Linked DNA regions of Anolis sagrei. Each later gene encodes a partner of the first gene's protein in a complex. Links are inferred from orthologs where the notes say so. Each region holds a gene or a part of one and is shown on either strand. Other genes may lie near its edges.

Region 1 (8,025 bases):
GAATCTTTCGAACACTTCATGGTATCAAATTTTCAAGAATTCTTTCCCTTTAACACTTCAGTGGTCCTCTTTTCTTAAACTATCCAACCAAGGCTTTGGAGACCTATCCTGCGTATGCTTACACAAACATCTCTCACCTTTACTTACATCAGCTTTTACTTTCAAGCCATCTTTTACATCCAGCTTTTGACTTCCTAAAGTTCAGCCTATGCTTGTTTACGTTGAAGGATTCACGAATTTTGGCTAGCCTTGATGTTCAACACCAAGCTACACAGAACTTTTAGAAATAGCCTAAGCACTTCCAAAGTGTACACTCTAATCTCTATCTATATAACTATTTCTTTTCTTAAACCTGAGAGGCACTTCCAAAGCATCTTGATCCTTATGAGTCTTTCAAAAATGTTCAAAACTTTCAGACCTCACAGCAGAACAGAATCTTCTGCTAGAATTAAAAACCTACTCACTGGTAGCAAGCTGAATATGTTCTAATGAATTTAATGGCCTTGTGAAGAAAGACAATGGAGGTGTAGCAGATCAGGGTTTAAGATATACTGTATGCTCTATAAGACACAATGCATGTCCCAATGAGGAAGAGCTGGGCGTTACACACATCACTTTACTTTTTATATATCAGACTATGCCAATAAAGTTACCATTATAGCAAACAAAACTACAGCAATCAAATGGTATCCTTTATTACAAAACCTTTGAAGTTTTCATTGTAGTCATAAAACTAAAGTTGAGACAAGCCTAAATTTTTTTCATTAGATTTTAAATTCAAGCTTTATTTCCAATTTTATCCATTTGCCTTGAAATGGGAGATGTTTAGCTTGCAGTATAATTTGGCAGCATCCAGAGAGGCAAAAGTTCACATCAAGGGAGTAAGGGATCAGAAATTCAGTTGATTATTTAGCTATTTTGACAGAGCTAGAACTTTCTGTCACTCTGGATAGAAAAATAGAGAAGGCAGAATGAGGGAAAGGGGCACAATGGATTGCTTGGGATGTTATTTTGCCATTTTTCCTCATAAACTTACAACCTTGGTCTATCGTTGCCTGTTATATTGAGTTTGCAAATGCCTGCTCAAAAAGCCAGGTTTAAACTTTTTTGCGAAATGTTAAGAGGGAGGGGGCCGATCTAATATCCCTAGGAAGGGCATTCCACAGCCATATACCCACTTGCCTTGTTTCTAACAAACTTCACAACCTCTGAGGATGCCTGTCATACTACGTCATCACACTAGCAAATGAATCCACATAAAAACCGGTTTCTGCCTCCTACAGAATTCTGGGGTTTGTAGTTTAGTGAAGCTGTTAAAGGCTCCTCCCTAAACCCCAGAATTCTGCAGGAGGCAGCAACCAGATTTAAAGTGAATTCATTCTCTAGTGTGATGAGGTGATGTGGGTGAAACATCAGGAGAGAATGCTTTTGGAACATGGCCATACTGCCTAGAAAACTCACAGCAACCCAGTGATTCCAGCCATGAAAGATTTCGACAACACTTGTGAAAAAGCTTTTAAAACTCCACGTTTCATACATGACTTCATGCAAATAATGCTGTTAATGATACTATAATAGATGTCAAGGTAATATAAGCAAAACGACATAAGCAAGATCTCATTTTTAAAAAGTAGGTTGAACTACCACTCAGGCAACAGGATTTCCTGTAGGTTTACCACAACAACATCTGTTTCTCACAAAACTCTTTTCAGAACCAATATCAGCAATGAGTCTTATGTCACTGTGTGTGTTATTTGGCATAAACTTTTCCAGCTGGCACAAAATTATACACCAAAAGAATCTTATGAGTCCTTAAAATCTTTGCTGCATTTGCTGCTATAACCTCAAAGGCCGTCGATTCCCCCAAACAAGTCTCTTTAATAGCAATCTAGCCCTACAACGAGATGCTACAACAGACTGGACTAGCACTGAAACTCTATTAGTCATAATAAACTGGTGATAATTTAACAATTTTTAAAATTGTAATTATTTTTAAAAATGACTGATTTTTCAGCTGTTTACATTGGCTTTGGAAGGAAGGCAGATTGTGAAATGAGTAATTATTATTACTCATTCCCCAGAACCTTTAAGGCAGGCCAGGGCAAACTTGAGCTCTCCAGGTGTTTTGGACTCTTAAGCAGCTGAGAGGGAAAAGGAAAGGGCCTCAGGCTATTAGGAATTATGGGAGTTGAAGTCCAAACACCTCGAGGGCCAAAGTTTGCCCAGGCCTGCTTTAAGGGATAACTTTAGCGTGTAGGGAGTATCTATTGTAGCTCTAATGAGGTTCAATTATCCTTTTAACTGCCATGGCTGTGGAATTATGGGATCTGTAGTTTGTTGGGGCAGCAGGACTCTTGGGGCCCTTCCACACAGCCCTATAACCAAGGATATCAAGGCGGAATAACCCATAATATCTGGTTTGAACTGGAATTTATGTATTTATTTATTTACGACATTTATATGCTGCTCTTCTAACCCCAAAGAGGACTCAGAGCGGCTTACAAGTTTTATATATATATATATATATATATATGCACAATATATTATATTATTAGCATAGTACAGTATCAGTATTATATATCACTATATTGTACTATACCATTACATTGTAATATTATTAGTAATATTACATGCAATATGAAATATATAATTATAATATCATATATTATTAGTATTACATTGTACTACATTATAAATATTACATATATATACAATATATTATATTTATATATATATATATATATATATACATGGCAGTGTGGACTCAGATAACCCAGTTCAAAGCAGATGTTGTGGGTTATTCTGCCTTGATGTTCTGGCTGTGTGGAGGGGCCCTTGGTCAGAGAAGGCTAAAAACCTGGTAAAGCTATCTATATTTTCCATGAGCCATGGCAGTGAAGCCATTAATTCTTCACTGTAGATACACCCTTGGATATCCCACAACGAAAACCACCCCACACGTCCTCATTATCGTGCCCAATATACGCCCCCTTTCACCCCAGTCCTGGACTGGGACTTCCCTTCCCAAAGCAAGGAGGCAACAAGCGCAGGCTCAGGGACTCCAGTCCTGGGATGTGCGCATGCGCAATGGGACTCTCCTCCCCTCCCCTCCTCCCTCCCCGCTCCTGCTCCCTCAAGACCCGGCTCCCACGGCGCGAGAGGCCTCTTCGCTCGCCCGCCCACTCACCCGCCTCGGGCCCATAAGCGCGCGGCCCTTCCCGGGAACGCCGGCCATGCAACCTCCTTCCCTCAGGGCCAGCTCGACCGCGGATCCTGCCAGCGCCGCGAACACCCGACCCACCACAGTCAGGTGACCACCTCAGAACCGCCTCCGCCCCCTGCGCGCTCATTGGGCGCCGGATTCCGATGACGTCCACTTTCTCCCTCTTTCCTCCCTACGCGGCGCCTTCCCCTTCTGTTTTGATGCGCATGCGTCGCTCTCGCGCTCTCTTCTTCTTACCCCCCCCCCCCCCCGCACGTTTTCTCAGGTAATAGAGCGGCGCGTCGTCATTGCTCCGAAGGTCTCCCCGCGAGCGTCCCTTCGCCAGTGGCGCGCGCTTGATTCAAGGTTCTCGCGCCCAAAGGGAGGTTTGCCCAGCATGAGGCGTTTCCCGCGCCTCAGTGTCGGGCTGTACAAACACATCAAAACGATCAGCCAGGCTTTGAAGCTGCAAGGTCATCAAATGCTAATCATGGTCGCCAATTACAACATAATAATATAATAATTATAATATATTAATAACATAATATATAAATGTTTGTATATATATATATATATATATATACATACACATACATACTAGCTGTACCCGCCACACGTTGCTGTGACCAACCTTCCCTCCCTCTTCCTCTTCTTTCCTTCCCTCTTTCTTTCCCCTTTTTTTCTCTCATTCCTTCTCTCCTTCCTCCCTCCCTTCCTCCCACCTTTTCCTTCCTTTTCTCTTTCTCCCCTTTCTTCCTTCTCTACCTATTCTTGGACTGCAACTCCCAGCAGTCCTCCTGATCCATCTAGCCACCTACCTATCTCTATGTAATCTATCTGGAGGATTGCTGGGAGTTGCAGTCCAGGAATAGGAAATTGGAGATATGCAGGGATTGGGATGCTCTCGAAGAAATGTAAGGAGAAGAAAGCTTGCACCTTGGAATTAGTGCATTTGGATCATCCTCCTCTCCTAAAGGGTCTGGTCAAGGGGATGCTGGGAGCTGTAATCCAGAAGAGGGTGTGGATATGCTATTATATGTTTTGTTTGCTGGGGAGTCGTTTGTGTGCATGTGCTATTGCATATTTTTGCTTTTTTTGGCTTTTAAGTTGCTTCCGCTATGTTTTCCAGTGTTTTTATGAGTGATGGTCACTCGTTGGCCTCATAAGTGTATTGTGCCCAAATTTGGTGTCAATGCATCCAGTGGTTTTTGAGTTATGTTAATCCCACGAACGAACATTATCTATCCATCTATCTATCTATCTATACACACACACACTTGGCTCTTCAAGCAAGCTTTTGGAAATGCAGTGGAATAGTTAACATGAAACTATGAATAATGAACATGGGTGATTGTATGATAGCTGGGTCCCCCTGCTATGAGCGCTACACAGATGCCGCAAAGGGAAGGGATTGCATGGTGGAGAGAGGAACCGGAGTGAGAGTGGGGAGAGCGAGACACTGAGGGCGGGAATATACTTTATAATATAATAATAACACTTTATTTGTACCCCGCTACCATCTCCCCAAGGGACTTGGTGCGACTTACATGAGGCCAAGCCCGCAATACATCAATAAACAGAACATCAATAAAATAAACATCAATAAACAATCAATGCAATATAAATCATAATCACATAAACAAAATAGACAATAAGCAATCAACAGTAACATATAAACATTTAAAACCAAAGGCCGGGCCAAATGTGATAAATTTAAATTAAAAAAATAGTGCTTATGTGAACCAGGTAGGATATAATTGGGATAGAAATACCTTTCTGACCGCATCTTGGCCTACGAGCCCACGAGGACCTTGAGATCGTCTGGGGAGGCCCTTCTCTCGATCCCGCCTGCATCACAGGCACGGCTGGCGGGGACGAGGGAGAGGGCCTTCTCGGTGGTGGCCCCCCGGCTGTGGAACACTCTCCCGGCACACATCAGACAGGCGCCCTCCCTCATGTCCTTTCGAAAAAGCCTTAAGACCTGGCTGTTCGAGAGGGCATTTAATTAAGTGGTAAGCAACAACATTACGGTAATGAGAACTGGAATGGTATAAGGAAGATGAGACTGGCTATGATTCTACTAAGAGACGAAGCGGATTTTTATGTAGTTTGTATTTGTCGTATAGTTATATGTTGTTGATACTGGCCTTTGTAACTGTCTTTTTATGTGTACTGTACACCGCCATGAGTCGCCCGTAAGGGCTGAGAATGGCGGTTAATAAGTGCATCAAATAAATAAATAAATAAATAAATAGGATTTTTAGAGAGAATGAGGGAATGCAGTCAATCCTAAAGCAGTAGTAAAGTGCATTTTGAGGACATAATGCTGAGGGTTTTCCTTATTCTGGGAAGGCACACTGGAACAACCACATTTTCAAGCTCCTCCTAAAGACTGCCAGAGATGGGGCATGTCTGATGTCTCTGGGAAGTGAGTTCCAGAGTCGGGGGGCCACCACCGAGAAGGCCCTTTCCCTCGGCCCCACCAATCGCTCCTGCGAAAGAGGCGGGAGCGTGATCAGGGCCTCTCCAGATGATCGAAGAGATCGTGTGGGTTCGTATACAGAAATGTGGCCATTTCAGTTGCATTTGAAGGAAGGATAGTAAGGAGGGGAGGGTAAGGGTTGGGATTAGGGTTAGGGTGAGGGTAAGGGTTACATTTTAGGGTTAGGGGTTAGTGTTAGAGTTAAGTATTATCTGTTATTATCTGTGTCTGACCTGGCTTACATTACCTCAGTCTCTCACTGCCCCCCCCCCCCCCCCCGGTCTCAGTAACGTGTTCCATTCTGTGTTGCAGAAACAGCGTAATGCTTGTAGCAGGGGGACCCAGCTATCATACAACCACCTGAACATGGAATAGCTAGAAGATGCTATTGGAAAATGATTTTAACAGGACAACACTGGTGACTATATGATTTAATGATTGTAATGGTTTTTATATGATTATGCTAATTGTTTTAATCGTATTTTTATGACTGTATGGCATCGAATGGTTGCCAATCTGTAACCCGCCTTAGGGCTGAGAAAGGTGGCCTATAAATGTAGTAAATAAATATAATAAAATATAATATAATAATAACATAATAATATATAAATGTCATAAATAAATAATAAAAATAATAAAGCTTCATTTATATACCACCTTATCTCCCCAAGAGGACTCAGGGTGGTTTCCAACATAAGGCAAAACATTCATTTGCCAGAAAGGAAAACCATACAAACAAATTAAAATAAACATCATAAAACAAACGTAAAATTCTGCTAAAACAAACACAAAAATTTAAAAACCTTTATAACTCTATCAGACAAGTTCAAAATACCATTGGGCCAGAATTGCAACATGGGCATGGCCCACTATGAAACGCCTGGGCAAGGGCTAATGCAATAGAGTATCATGGGCCAGGGAAGTGGATAAAGTGCAGAGCCTACAGACTAATCATTCTCAAAAACCAGCCAGGTTTTGAGGTCCCTATGGAAGGAGGACAGTGTGGGAGCTTGCCTAATCTCTTTGGGGAGGGAGTTCCAAAGTCAGGGGGCCACCACTGAGAAGGCCCTGGCAGATCTTCTAGCCCGTGCAGGTTCATAGGTGGAGATGCGATCATGAAGAGAGGCAGAGCCCAAACATTAACACTTGCCTCAAGCCGACAAGAGTTCTTTCTCCCACCCAGAACTTTCCACAGACATATACACTCCACTTGCCTAGTTTCCAACAGAAACCTCAACCTCTGTTTTTGTGAAATTATATTATATTAGTGTAATTATGTTTTATTTAAGTTTTATTTAAGTAGCTGTATTTCGTATTACTTTAACCTTAATTATTTTCTGGTAATTAGTTTATTACTGTCCATTTTGCATTCCTGATGATGTGTGATTTTAAATTATGGCATTGAATATTTGCCTTTTTATATGTATATAAACTGCCCTTTGAGGAGAGAGGATGGTCTAGAAATTATTATTATTATTATTATTATTATTATTATTATTTCCCAAATTTCTCATAAAGCTTTCCATTACCAGGATTGGTTTCATTCACAAAATTTGGCGTAGAAAACGAAGCTTGTGCTTCTCTGGCTTTCTTCCAGTTTCCATTAGTGAGAATTTATCAGTTTATATTGCTTTGACAGAAATACGCTGCTACTGGTAGAAAACAAATATGCTTGAGCTAATTAGGAGCAATATTAATAATTCAGCTGTTTTTCTTGGAGTGACATTTGATTCTGCTGTAATTAGTGTATTTATTTCTAACCCCTTTCCGTGAAAAACCAAAATATTCTCAGTTGGATCCAAAACTTAGCTCTGGGTTTATGCCAGTTATATTTCTAAATATCGGAAGTGGTTTTGTATATTTTTATTTTCTAACTGAATAGAGGAAAAAATAAGGTATTTCCATTAGTTTCCGTGCTTCAACCGCCATCTATCCCATCCTCTCTCAAATTATACATAGCGTTGGCAAGTGGGGTTTATATATCTGTTAAATGTCCAGGATGGGAGAAAGAACTCTTATCTGTTTGAGGCAAGTGTCAATGTTGCAATTGGCCAGCTTGATTAACAAACACTCTGATGAAATACATTGGGGGAGTGGGGAGGAAAATATTTGCTCCAACTTCTGTTTCCCATTAAAAGGTAAACTGCCAGTGGAGGGAGCTCAAGCCCCGCAGTGCTATGAAATCTAACCATGAAGGAGGAGATACTGGGATGAAGATCCAAAGATTAATATGTAAATTAATGTTCCCAGCATTAGAGACAAACAATTATTTTTACATTATGTTTTAGAAGCCTGTTTTTTCCATCCTATTTAAGGAAGTAGTTTTTTGCAGCATAAAAAG
Region 2 (8,195 bases), on another chromosome or scaffold:
GGCACTTGGTGCCCCCCCTCCAAATCCCATTAGTATTCAAAATTAGCCATATTGGGTAATTGTGCCAAGTCTGGTCCAGATCCAACAGTTGCATACACATTGCTTTGTTGATGTGGGTGAACTATATTATAACTATAATACTGGAAACACCAGTAAAAGACCAAGGCCTGCTTGCTGGGCCATAATTAAAAGTTGCTAATAAGAACTGAAAATTAAACTCTGATACGAACTGGAACAGTGACAACAGAAATATTTACAATGTTAAGAAGGAAGTCAACATAAGATCAACACCATTCAAGAACAATCAACATCTGGCTAGGAAACTGAGATGGAACCAGGATGCATGACATCTATCATTAATTTAGAACTTTGGGACTACATCAACGAATATTCCTATAAAAGACTCAATCTAATAATTCTAAAAGTGTGACAGACCTGTGGAGTCTGGTTCACCCACCTCTCTGCTCCATGGGAAGGACAGAGATGGTGTACTTGGCGAGTGTCAGATATGCTATGGGAAAGCATGATTCTATACACTTTGGGACTTCTTTCTGAAGGGAAGAGGAAGAAGTGTGCTTTTGGAGTCTTGGATTTTGTGTAGGGAGTCAGGTTCTGCTGTATGGAAAACAGAGATCTGGTCCTTGCCATTGTTTTTAGGGTATAAGTTTTGGCATTTTGAAGTTATGGAAGTTTTGGATCTATGTGTTGGCAGGTTGCAGGAAAGCAGGGTCTGACCTAACTGGTGCTTCTCCAAGGAGAGAGAAAAGGATATGGTAATATTTGGATGCATGACAATGAATGCATGTACATGTGTGTGAATGGTGATTGAAAATGTAATTCCCCTTTGTTTGTTGGTTAGCCATGTAATTGTAAATCCAATGTAGTTGCATAGAATCTGTATGTCTAAACGTTTTTCTGTAATCTGATAGACCCTCTCACACTGGAAATCACAATAAAAAGAACCTATGCTTAAAAGTTATTAAAAAGTTATTCATGACAAATTGGTGTCAGAAATGGGATATGCCTTTCCAGTGTGGGAAAGTTATTCATAACACGCTCTACCATTATTTAGCTCTGGGTTCACTTGTCGTTAGCTACATTTGTCATAGGCTTTGTGCTTAATGCCTTTCTCCCTCAGTCCTTCATATGAAAAAGGACCTCCAGTTGTACATTAACACCATGCGCTGTAATTAACTTATTTTTCAAATACATACAGGATAGAAGATGGCTTGCATATTCATTCACCAACTAGGAAGAAAATTGCTCAGTTTTTAATTCTAAATTTGTGTGTGATCTTCAGTTTCATCTCACACATTCAGTATGTGTGTATGTGCTTTCAAGCTGCATGTCAAGATCATGATTTTTGTAGGGTTTTTATGGCAAATAATATTCAGAGGTTCTTTGCCAGTTCCTTCCTCTGAAATATAACCTACAGGTACTAACCAGCACTGATCTTACTTAGTTTCAAAGAATAGGCAGGATCTGGTAACTTTAGGATATTTAGACCATTTTATTCATCTTACTGAAATCGTTAGTTCCAATTTTCTTATGATTGCTTGCTTATTAGCTCTGATGCTGCTACAAGTTTTCACTTTGCCTGAAACAATGCTGCCATCTAAGGACAAAATGGATAAGTTACAAGCCAGAGCCTTCCAGCTGTCTTTCAAACTGACTTAACTTTGCTCCACTAGAAAAAATATCCCAAAAGAAGCAATGTGGTAATAATTTCATTAGGAGGTATCTACAATATATTACCTAAAGAGGCAAGAGCACTTCAAGTCTCATTATTATACACAATGGCATAGTAAAATGTTGTCTCTTGTATAAAATAGCAAAATCAAGGTTTGCTGTTTTGGATTTATATATATGTATTATACACATACACACAGATGTAATACATACATACATACATACATACATATATACACACACATATAATTTTATATAATATATATTATAAATATAATACATTTTATAATATATTTTTATATTTTATATATAAACCATATTTAACTTGGGTGTTGTAGAAGCAGTACTTCAATTCAAATTTTGATGTAAGTGAGCAATTTCCACCCACTGCGGGGTTGCTTTCTGCCAAGTACAATGCTCTCAGTTCCGAATAGAATCATTGCAGTTTCTCTACCAAACCGAAGGGGGCGGCACTGCGGAGAGACCACAGCACTTCAAGCTCTGTGCTTTTTCAGTGAGAGTCCTAAGAGTAATTCAAATGCAACCTGGAGAAAATTCCTGAAAAACACATACATTACGACCTCTCTACCTCTGAGGATGCTTGCCATAGATGCAGGCGAAACGTCAGGAGAGAATGCCTCTAGACCATGGCCATATAGCCCGAAAAAACCTACAACAACCCTATGTAATAATGCACTGGCATTGTTATTGTTTATTCATTCAGTTGCTTCCAACTTTGTGACCTCATAGGCAAGCCCATGCCAGGGCTCCCTGTCGGCCGTTGCCACCCCCGGTTCCTAAATATATACTGTACACAAGTCTTATCAGCATTTTATCTACCAAAGATGTGAAATTCCATTCTCTGGGATAACCATTTAGTTCTTAACTGTAATTGACTGAATTGTCCATGTGAGGGGCAGAAGGAATAGACATTAAGTATGACATCACTTCAAATAACTCTTGCTTGCAGTTATTATTTTCCACTTTTACAGGCTCTGCAACCAATACACGCTTTCACTGTTTATCGAATTCTCTTGGACCTACGTAAACATTGAGTTTCCCCGTGGCTCTGGCTTATCTCTAAACTGCGGCTGTTATCGTTGACCCAACCAGGTGTCAAGTTTTCTTGCAAGCTCGAGTCAGAAGAAGGGAGTGAATTTTCTTTCTCATGAGAACCTGGTTTTTCTCTTGTAGTCTCTAAATCAAAGCCTGTAGGATTTTTACTGCCCAAAGTGTCTCCATCCTGAACCTCATCCTCATTGATCACTTCAGCCTCACTATCCAAACTAGGCCCTTCAACATTAACATCAATATTATCCACATTAGGCAATACAATCAGAGATTCAGGCTCAAGGTCACACACAGGGTCACACACAGGTTGAGTCCCAACACCGATATGCCCAAATTTGAACTCTGGTGGGGTTGTGGGAGGGTTGATTTTGTCATTTGGAAGTTGCTGGGATTTACAGTTCACCTACAATTAAAGCGTATTCTGAACTCTACCAATCATGGAATTGAACCAAACCTGACACATAGAACTCCCATGACCAACAGAAGATACTGGAAGTTCATGAGTTTTGCAGCTGTAGTTCACCTGAATCCTGACAGCACTGTGGACTCAAACAATTATAGATCTGGACCAAACTTGGCACAAATACCCAATATGCCCAAATGTGGACACTGGTGGAGTTTGAGGAAAACAGACCTTGATATTTGGGAGTTGTAGTTGCTGGGATTTATAGTTCACCTACAATCAAAGAGCATTCTGAATCCCACCAACAATAGGATTGGGCCAAACTTCCCACACAGAACTGCCATGACCAACAGAAATTGCTGTGTTTTCCGATGGTCTTTGAAGACCTCTCTTGACACGCCCTGGCGACCTCTTCAGGGGTCCGGACCCCCAGGTTGAGAAATACTGGTCTAGCCTTTCTTGTTTATCAATCCTAGTTTCATGTTATCTATTCCGCTCCATTCTCAAAAGCTTGTTCAAAGAGCTACGTTTTTACCTTTTTTCGGAGGGGGGACAATCTAATATCCCTGAGGAGCGAGTTCCATAGCTGGGGGGGGGGGGGGGGCACCACTGAGAAGGCCCTGTCCCTTGTCCATGCCAATTGCACTTGTGAGGCAAGCAGGATTGAGAGCAGCGACTCCCTAGACCAGAGGTCCACAAACTTTTTAAACAGAGGACCAGGTCACAGTCCCTCAAACTGTTGGAGGGCCAAATTATAATTTGAAAAAAGCATGAATGAATTCCTATGCACACTGCACATATCTTATTTGTAATGCAAAAAAAAAGAAAAAAGAAAGAAAAACACTTTAAAATAATACAATAATTAAAATGAAGAAAATTTTTAACAAATATAAACTTATTAGTATTTCAATGGGAAGTATGAGCCTGCTTTTGATTGATGAGAAAGAATTGTTGTTGCAGTTGTGTGCTTGCAAGTTGTTTCAGACTTAGGTTGCCACTGAGCGAGGGCCAGGTCGATGACCTTGGAGGGCCATATTCGGCCCCCGGGCTGTAGTTTGAGGACCCCTGCCCATGACGATCTTAAACTCCTAGATGGTTCATAGGAGGAGATACATTTGGACAGGTAAGCTGGGCCGGAACTGCTTAGGTTTTTATAGGCTAAAGCCAGCATTATGAATTGTCAGGCCATTATATGCTAATCAAGGTGGTCAGTTGAAACATTCACACCTAGCTCTAGCAGAGAAGAGTCCTTTGTCTCACCCTGGTCCTTCCACAGATATATAAACCCTTTTGCCTAGTTCCAACAGACCTCACTACCTCTGAGGATGCTTGCCAAAATGCAGGCGAAACGTCAGGAGAGAATGCCTCTAGACCATGGCCATACAGCCCGAAAAAAGCCTACAACAACCCATTTTGAATTGTGTTCGGTAGCAGATTGGCAGCCATGTATTATGTCAATGTGTTGTTGAAGGCTTTCATGGCCGGAATCACTGCGTTGCTGTGAGATATTCGCGCTGTATGGCCACATTCCGCTAGCCGTCTCGTCTTATTATGTCAATGCTGCCCAAAAGTGGAGCCTGTAGGTTTCGGGACTTCAACTCCCAGGATTCCCGACAGTGGGCCAAGCTGGCTGAGGCTTCTGGGAGTTGAAGTCTAAACGAACCTGGCGGAGCGAAGCTTGAGCTCCACTGCGCAGGCGTAGAGGGAAATCCCTCAGAAGCCGGAAGTGAAGGCATCCCGGAGCCTTTTTGTTTTGGTGGTTGACAAACCGAGCTCGTGGGCGGGGCTTGCTTGCCTCGAGAGCGCCGGAAGAGGAGTGTTTTTCCGCCGAGATCCCGGAAGTGGCTGTGTTGTGGTCGCCGGCCTGAGAATGGCTCGCCGGTTCTGCGTGGAGCTGTGAGGGGCCATGTCGTGAGGGAGAGGGCGTCCTCCTCCTTTATGGGCCACTTTCTCTCGCGGAAGGAGGGAACGGGAGCCGCGCCGGGACGCAGCGCGGAGCAGAGCCGCCTCCGCCGCCGCTTTCGCCTCCGCCGCCGGGCGCTGAGCGGCGGGAGCCGGGGCTGCTTCCTCCGCGGGCCTTGCATGCTGTGCTTCTTGGTCCACGGCGCCCCCGAGGAGCCCCCGCAGGCCAGGCGGCCCTCCCCGCGCCTCTTGGCGGCGCTGAAGGAAGAGCGCGGCCTCCGCTGCCCACGCCTCCGCCGGCACCTGCTGCTCTCCGGACTCCTCCTCCCGCCGCCGCCGCCGCCGCCCCCTCCCGGGCGTCGAGGCGCCCCCGGCCCTGCCCTGGAGAGCGGCCAGGCTCCGCCGGAGATGGTCTGCAAGCGCAAAGGCGTCGGACTGCCCGCCTGCCCGCCCCGCAAGCAGCCCCGCTGCGCCGCCATCGCCGCCGGCCCTGACAGCGCCGCCCCGCCGCTTCCGCCACCCGCGCAGCTCGCCTGCCCGCTGCCCTCCGCCTCCGAGCCCAGGGAGCCCGCCGCCAGCGAGAACGGGGCCGGGAGGGCGCTGCCCGCCGAAGGGGCCCGGCCCCAAGCACCCCGAGTCGGCGGCGAGGAGGAGGAGGAGGAGGGCGAGGAGAAGAACAAGAAGGGCGAGCGGCGCCAGCAGGAGCCCCGGCGAGAGCCCCCCGACTGCGAGGAGCCCCCCGAAAACCCCGGCGACTGCTGCTCTCGCGGGGAGCCCCCCGGCCCCACCCCGGACATCAACCAGCTGCCGCCCTCCATCCTCCTCAAGGTGAGCTCACCACTTTGGGCCAAACTATGTGGGCGCGGGGGGGGGGGCAGATGGAAGAGACCGATCTCCCCCTGCCATCCAGCCACGCAGGAAAATACAATCAAAGCACTTCTGACAGGTGGCCATTTATTTATTTACCTTATTTATGCCCCGCCCCCTGGTAGTGCCGTGGGTTAAACCGCTGAGCTGCTGAACTTGCTGACCAAAAGGTCGCTGGTTCAAATCTGGGGAACAGCTCCTGCTGTTAGCCACAGCTTCTGCCAACCTATAAGTTTGAAAATATGCAAAGGTGAGTAGATCAATAGGTACTGCTCTGGCTGGAAGGTAACAGCGCTCCGTGCAGTAATGCTGGCCACTTTACCTCGGAGATATCTACAGACAATGCTGGCTCTTTGGCTTAAAAATGGAGATGAGCACCAACCCCCAGAGTTGAACACAACTGGACTTACCTTAGAGGTGGAAGAGACTGACACCCTCCTCAGGGCCATCTAGCCCAACCCCTTTCTCCCAGGCAGGAAAATACAATCAAAGCACTCTTGACAGGTGGCCATCCAGGTTCTGTTTGAAAACCTCCAGAGGAGGCCCCACCATGCTTGAAGGCAGCACATTCGACTGTCAAACAGCTCTTCCTATAAATACGTTTTTTCTCCCATTTCATGGGAATATTTTTCTTGCAATTTGAATCCATTGTGTACTAGTCTCCAGAGCATCAGAAAACAAGGTTGCCCCCTCCTCAGCATGACATCCTTTCATATATTTTAACATGTCACTCATGTCCCTGGTCAAATAATATTTAGTATAAAGCCAAGTTCTTTTTTTAAACTTTGTGTTTTTAAATGCATTTTAACTGTACCCTCAACTCACTTCTGACACAATAAATAAATCATGTCCCTTCTCAGCCACCTTTTCTCCAAGCGAAACATACCCAGATCCCTCAGCCATTCCTCATATGGCTTGGTTCCAAAACATTTGATCATTTTGGACACCTTCCAGCTTGTCAATGACCTTAAACTGTGATGCCCAGGTGTGGGCCAAGGTTATTCCAGGTGAGGTCTGGCCAAAGCAGAATAGAGTGGGGCTATGATCTAGACCAGGCATCGTCAAACTCCGGCTCTCCAGTTGTTTGGGCCTCCAACCTCAAGAATTCCCGACCATTGAACAAACTGGCTAGATCTTCTAGGACAGTGGTTCTCAACCTTTGGGCCCCCCAGGTCTTTTGGCCTACAATTCCCAGAAATCCTAGCCAGTTTGTCATCTGTTTGGATTTCTGGGAGTTGTAGGCCAAAGCATCTTGGGACCCACATGTTGAGAACCACTGTTCTAGGAGTTGGAGGCCGAAACAGATGGAGAGCCACAGTGTGAGGATTTCTCCCTGTTGGAATTCATTTTGTTAGTTTTGACCTATCTCTCTAACTTGTTAAAGTTATTTTGGATTGTGATCCTGTCCTCATCCTGGAGAGAAGTGGCCAGTGGGTACCAAAGGAGTCTGTCCTGAGCCCAGTGCTATTCAACATATTTATCAGTGGCTTGGATGACAGAATAGAAGGCATGCTTATCAAATTTGCAAATGATACCAAATTGGAAAGTAAAGTAATATCCCAAAGGACAGGACCAGACAGGATCCACTCTGTGTCCAGTTCTGGGCCGTGCAATTTGAGAAGGATTTTGACAAGCTGGAATGTGTCCAGAGAAGGGCGTCCAAAACTATCAAAGGTTTAGAATGAGGAATAGCATCGGGATCTGGGTCTTTAGCTTGGAGCGACTGAGATGAGACATGAATGACCTGTTCAAATATTTGAAAGGATGTCACACTGAGAAAAGGGCAGGCTTGTTTTCTGCTGCTCTGAAGACTGGGAAACACTGGAGCAATGGATTCAAATTGCAGGAAAAAAGATTTCACATAAACATTAGGAAGAACTTCCTGACAGTAAGAGCTGTTCAGCAGTGGAATATGCTGCCTTGGAGCAGGGTGGAGGCTTCTTTGGAGGTTTTTAAGGCTGGTTAGCCGTCTGTAGGGAGTACTTTGCTTGTCTTTTCCTGCATGGCCTTTGTGGACTGAATGGTCTTCCAACTCTAGGAGTCTATGAGTTCTCTAGCCAAATAGAACTGCTTTATGATCGCTCATTGTTGGTGAAGTCCTTAAGCTTTTTACTCAGCATAATGCTGCCTATGTATATGGCACAGTCATTCATCTAGTACACATGTTATTTCTGGGTATTTTAGTTAAAAGAGTTGTAGCTTGATTAAATAATTTTTTGTGAAGTGCGAAGACGCAAACTCAGAAGAAAACTGTTTTCAGGGC

Evidence for each region.
Region 2: the proteins of BACH1 (region 1) and FBXL17 are in contact, whole or in part, in a cryo-EM structure (PDB 8UAH), measured with the Homo sapiens proteins. The link is inferred for Anolis sagrei from reciprocal best matches to the Homo sapiens genes BACH1 and FBXL17. Residues at the interface, in NP_001177.1 of Homo sapiens: Val20, Leu21, Ser23, Leu24, Gln27, Val32, Leu33, Asp35, Phe39, His48, Arg49, Ser50, Val51, Ala53, Ala54, Cys55, Ser56, Ser57, His60, Ser61, Arg62, Val64, Asn72, Thr74, Pro76, His116, Asn117; in NP_001156787.2 of Homo sapiens: Asp395, Arg421, Asn447, Gln473, Gln498, Glu499, Met524, Arg548, Cys574, Leu575, Tyr598, Val600, Ser601, Asp623, Trp626, Met651, Arg652, Val676, Gln678, Asp679, Cys680, Arg682, Thr683, Glu685, Gln689, Trp692.

Annotation. Positions count from the first base shown.
Region 1 is NC_090023.1:68,168,784-68,176,808, reverse strand, and holds the start of BACH1 (transcription regulator protein BACH1), read right to left. Parts: upstream 3,337-8,025; 5' UTR 3,188-3,336; intron 1-3,187. UniProt on the Homo sapiens protein: Transcriptional regulator that acts as a repressor or activator, depending on the context. Binds to NF-E2 DNA binding sites. Plays important roles in coordinating transcription activation and repression by MAFK.
Region 2 is NC_090022.1:246,945,759-246,953,953, forward strand, and holds the start of FBXL17 (F-box/LRR-repeat protein 17), read left to right. Parts: upstream 1-4,964; 5' UTR 4,965-5,101; coding exon 5,102-5,893; intron 5,894-8,195. UniProt on the Homo sapiens protein: Substrate-recognition component of the SCF(FBXL17) E3 ubiquitin ligase complex, a key component of a quality control pathway required to ensure functional dimerization of BTB domain-containing proteins (dimerization quality control, DQC).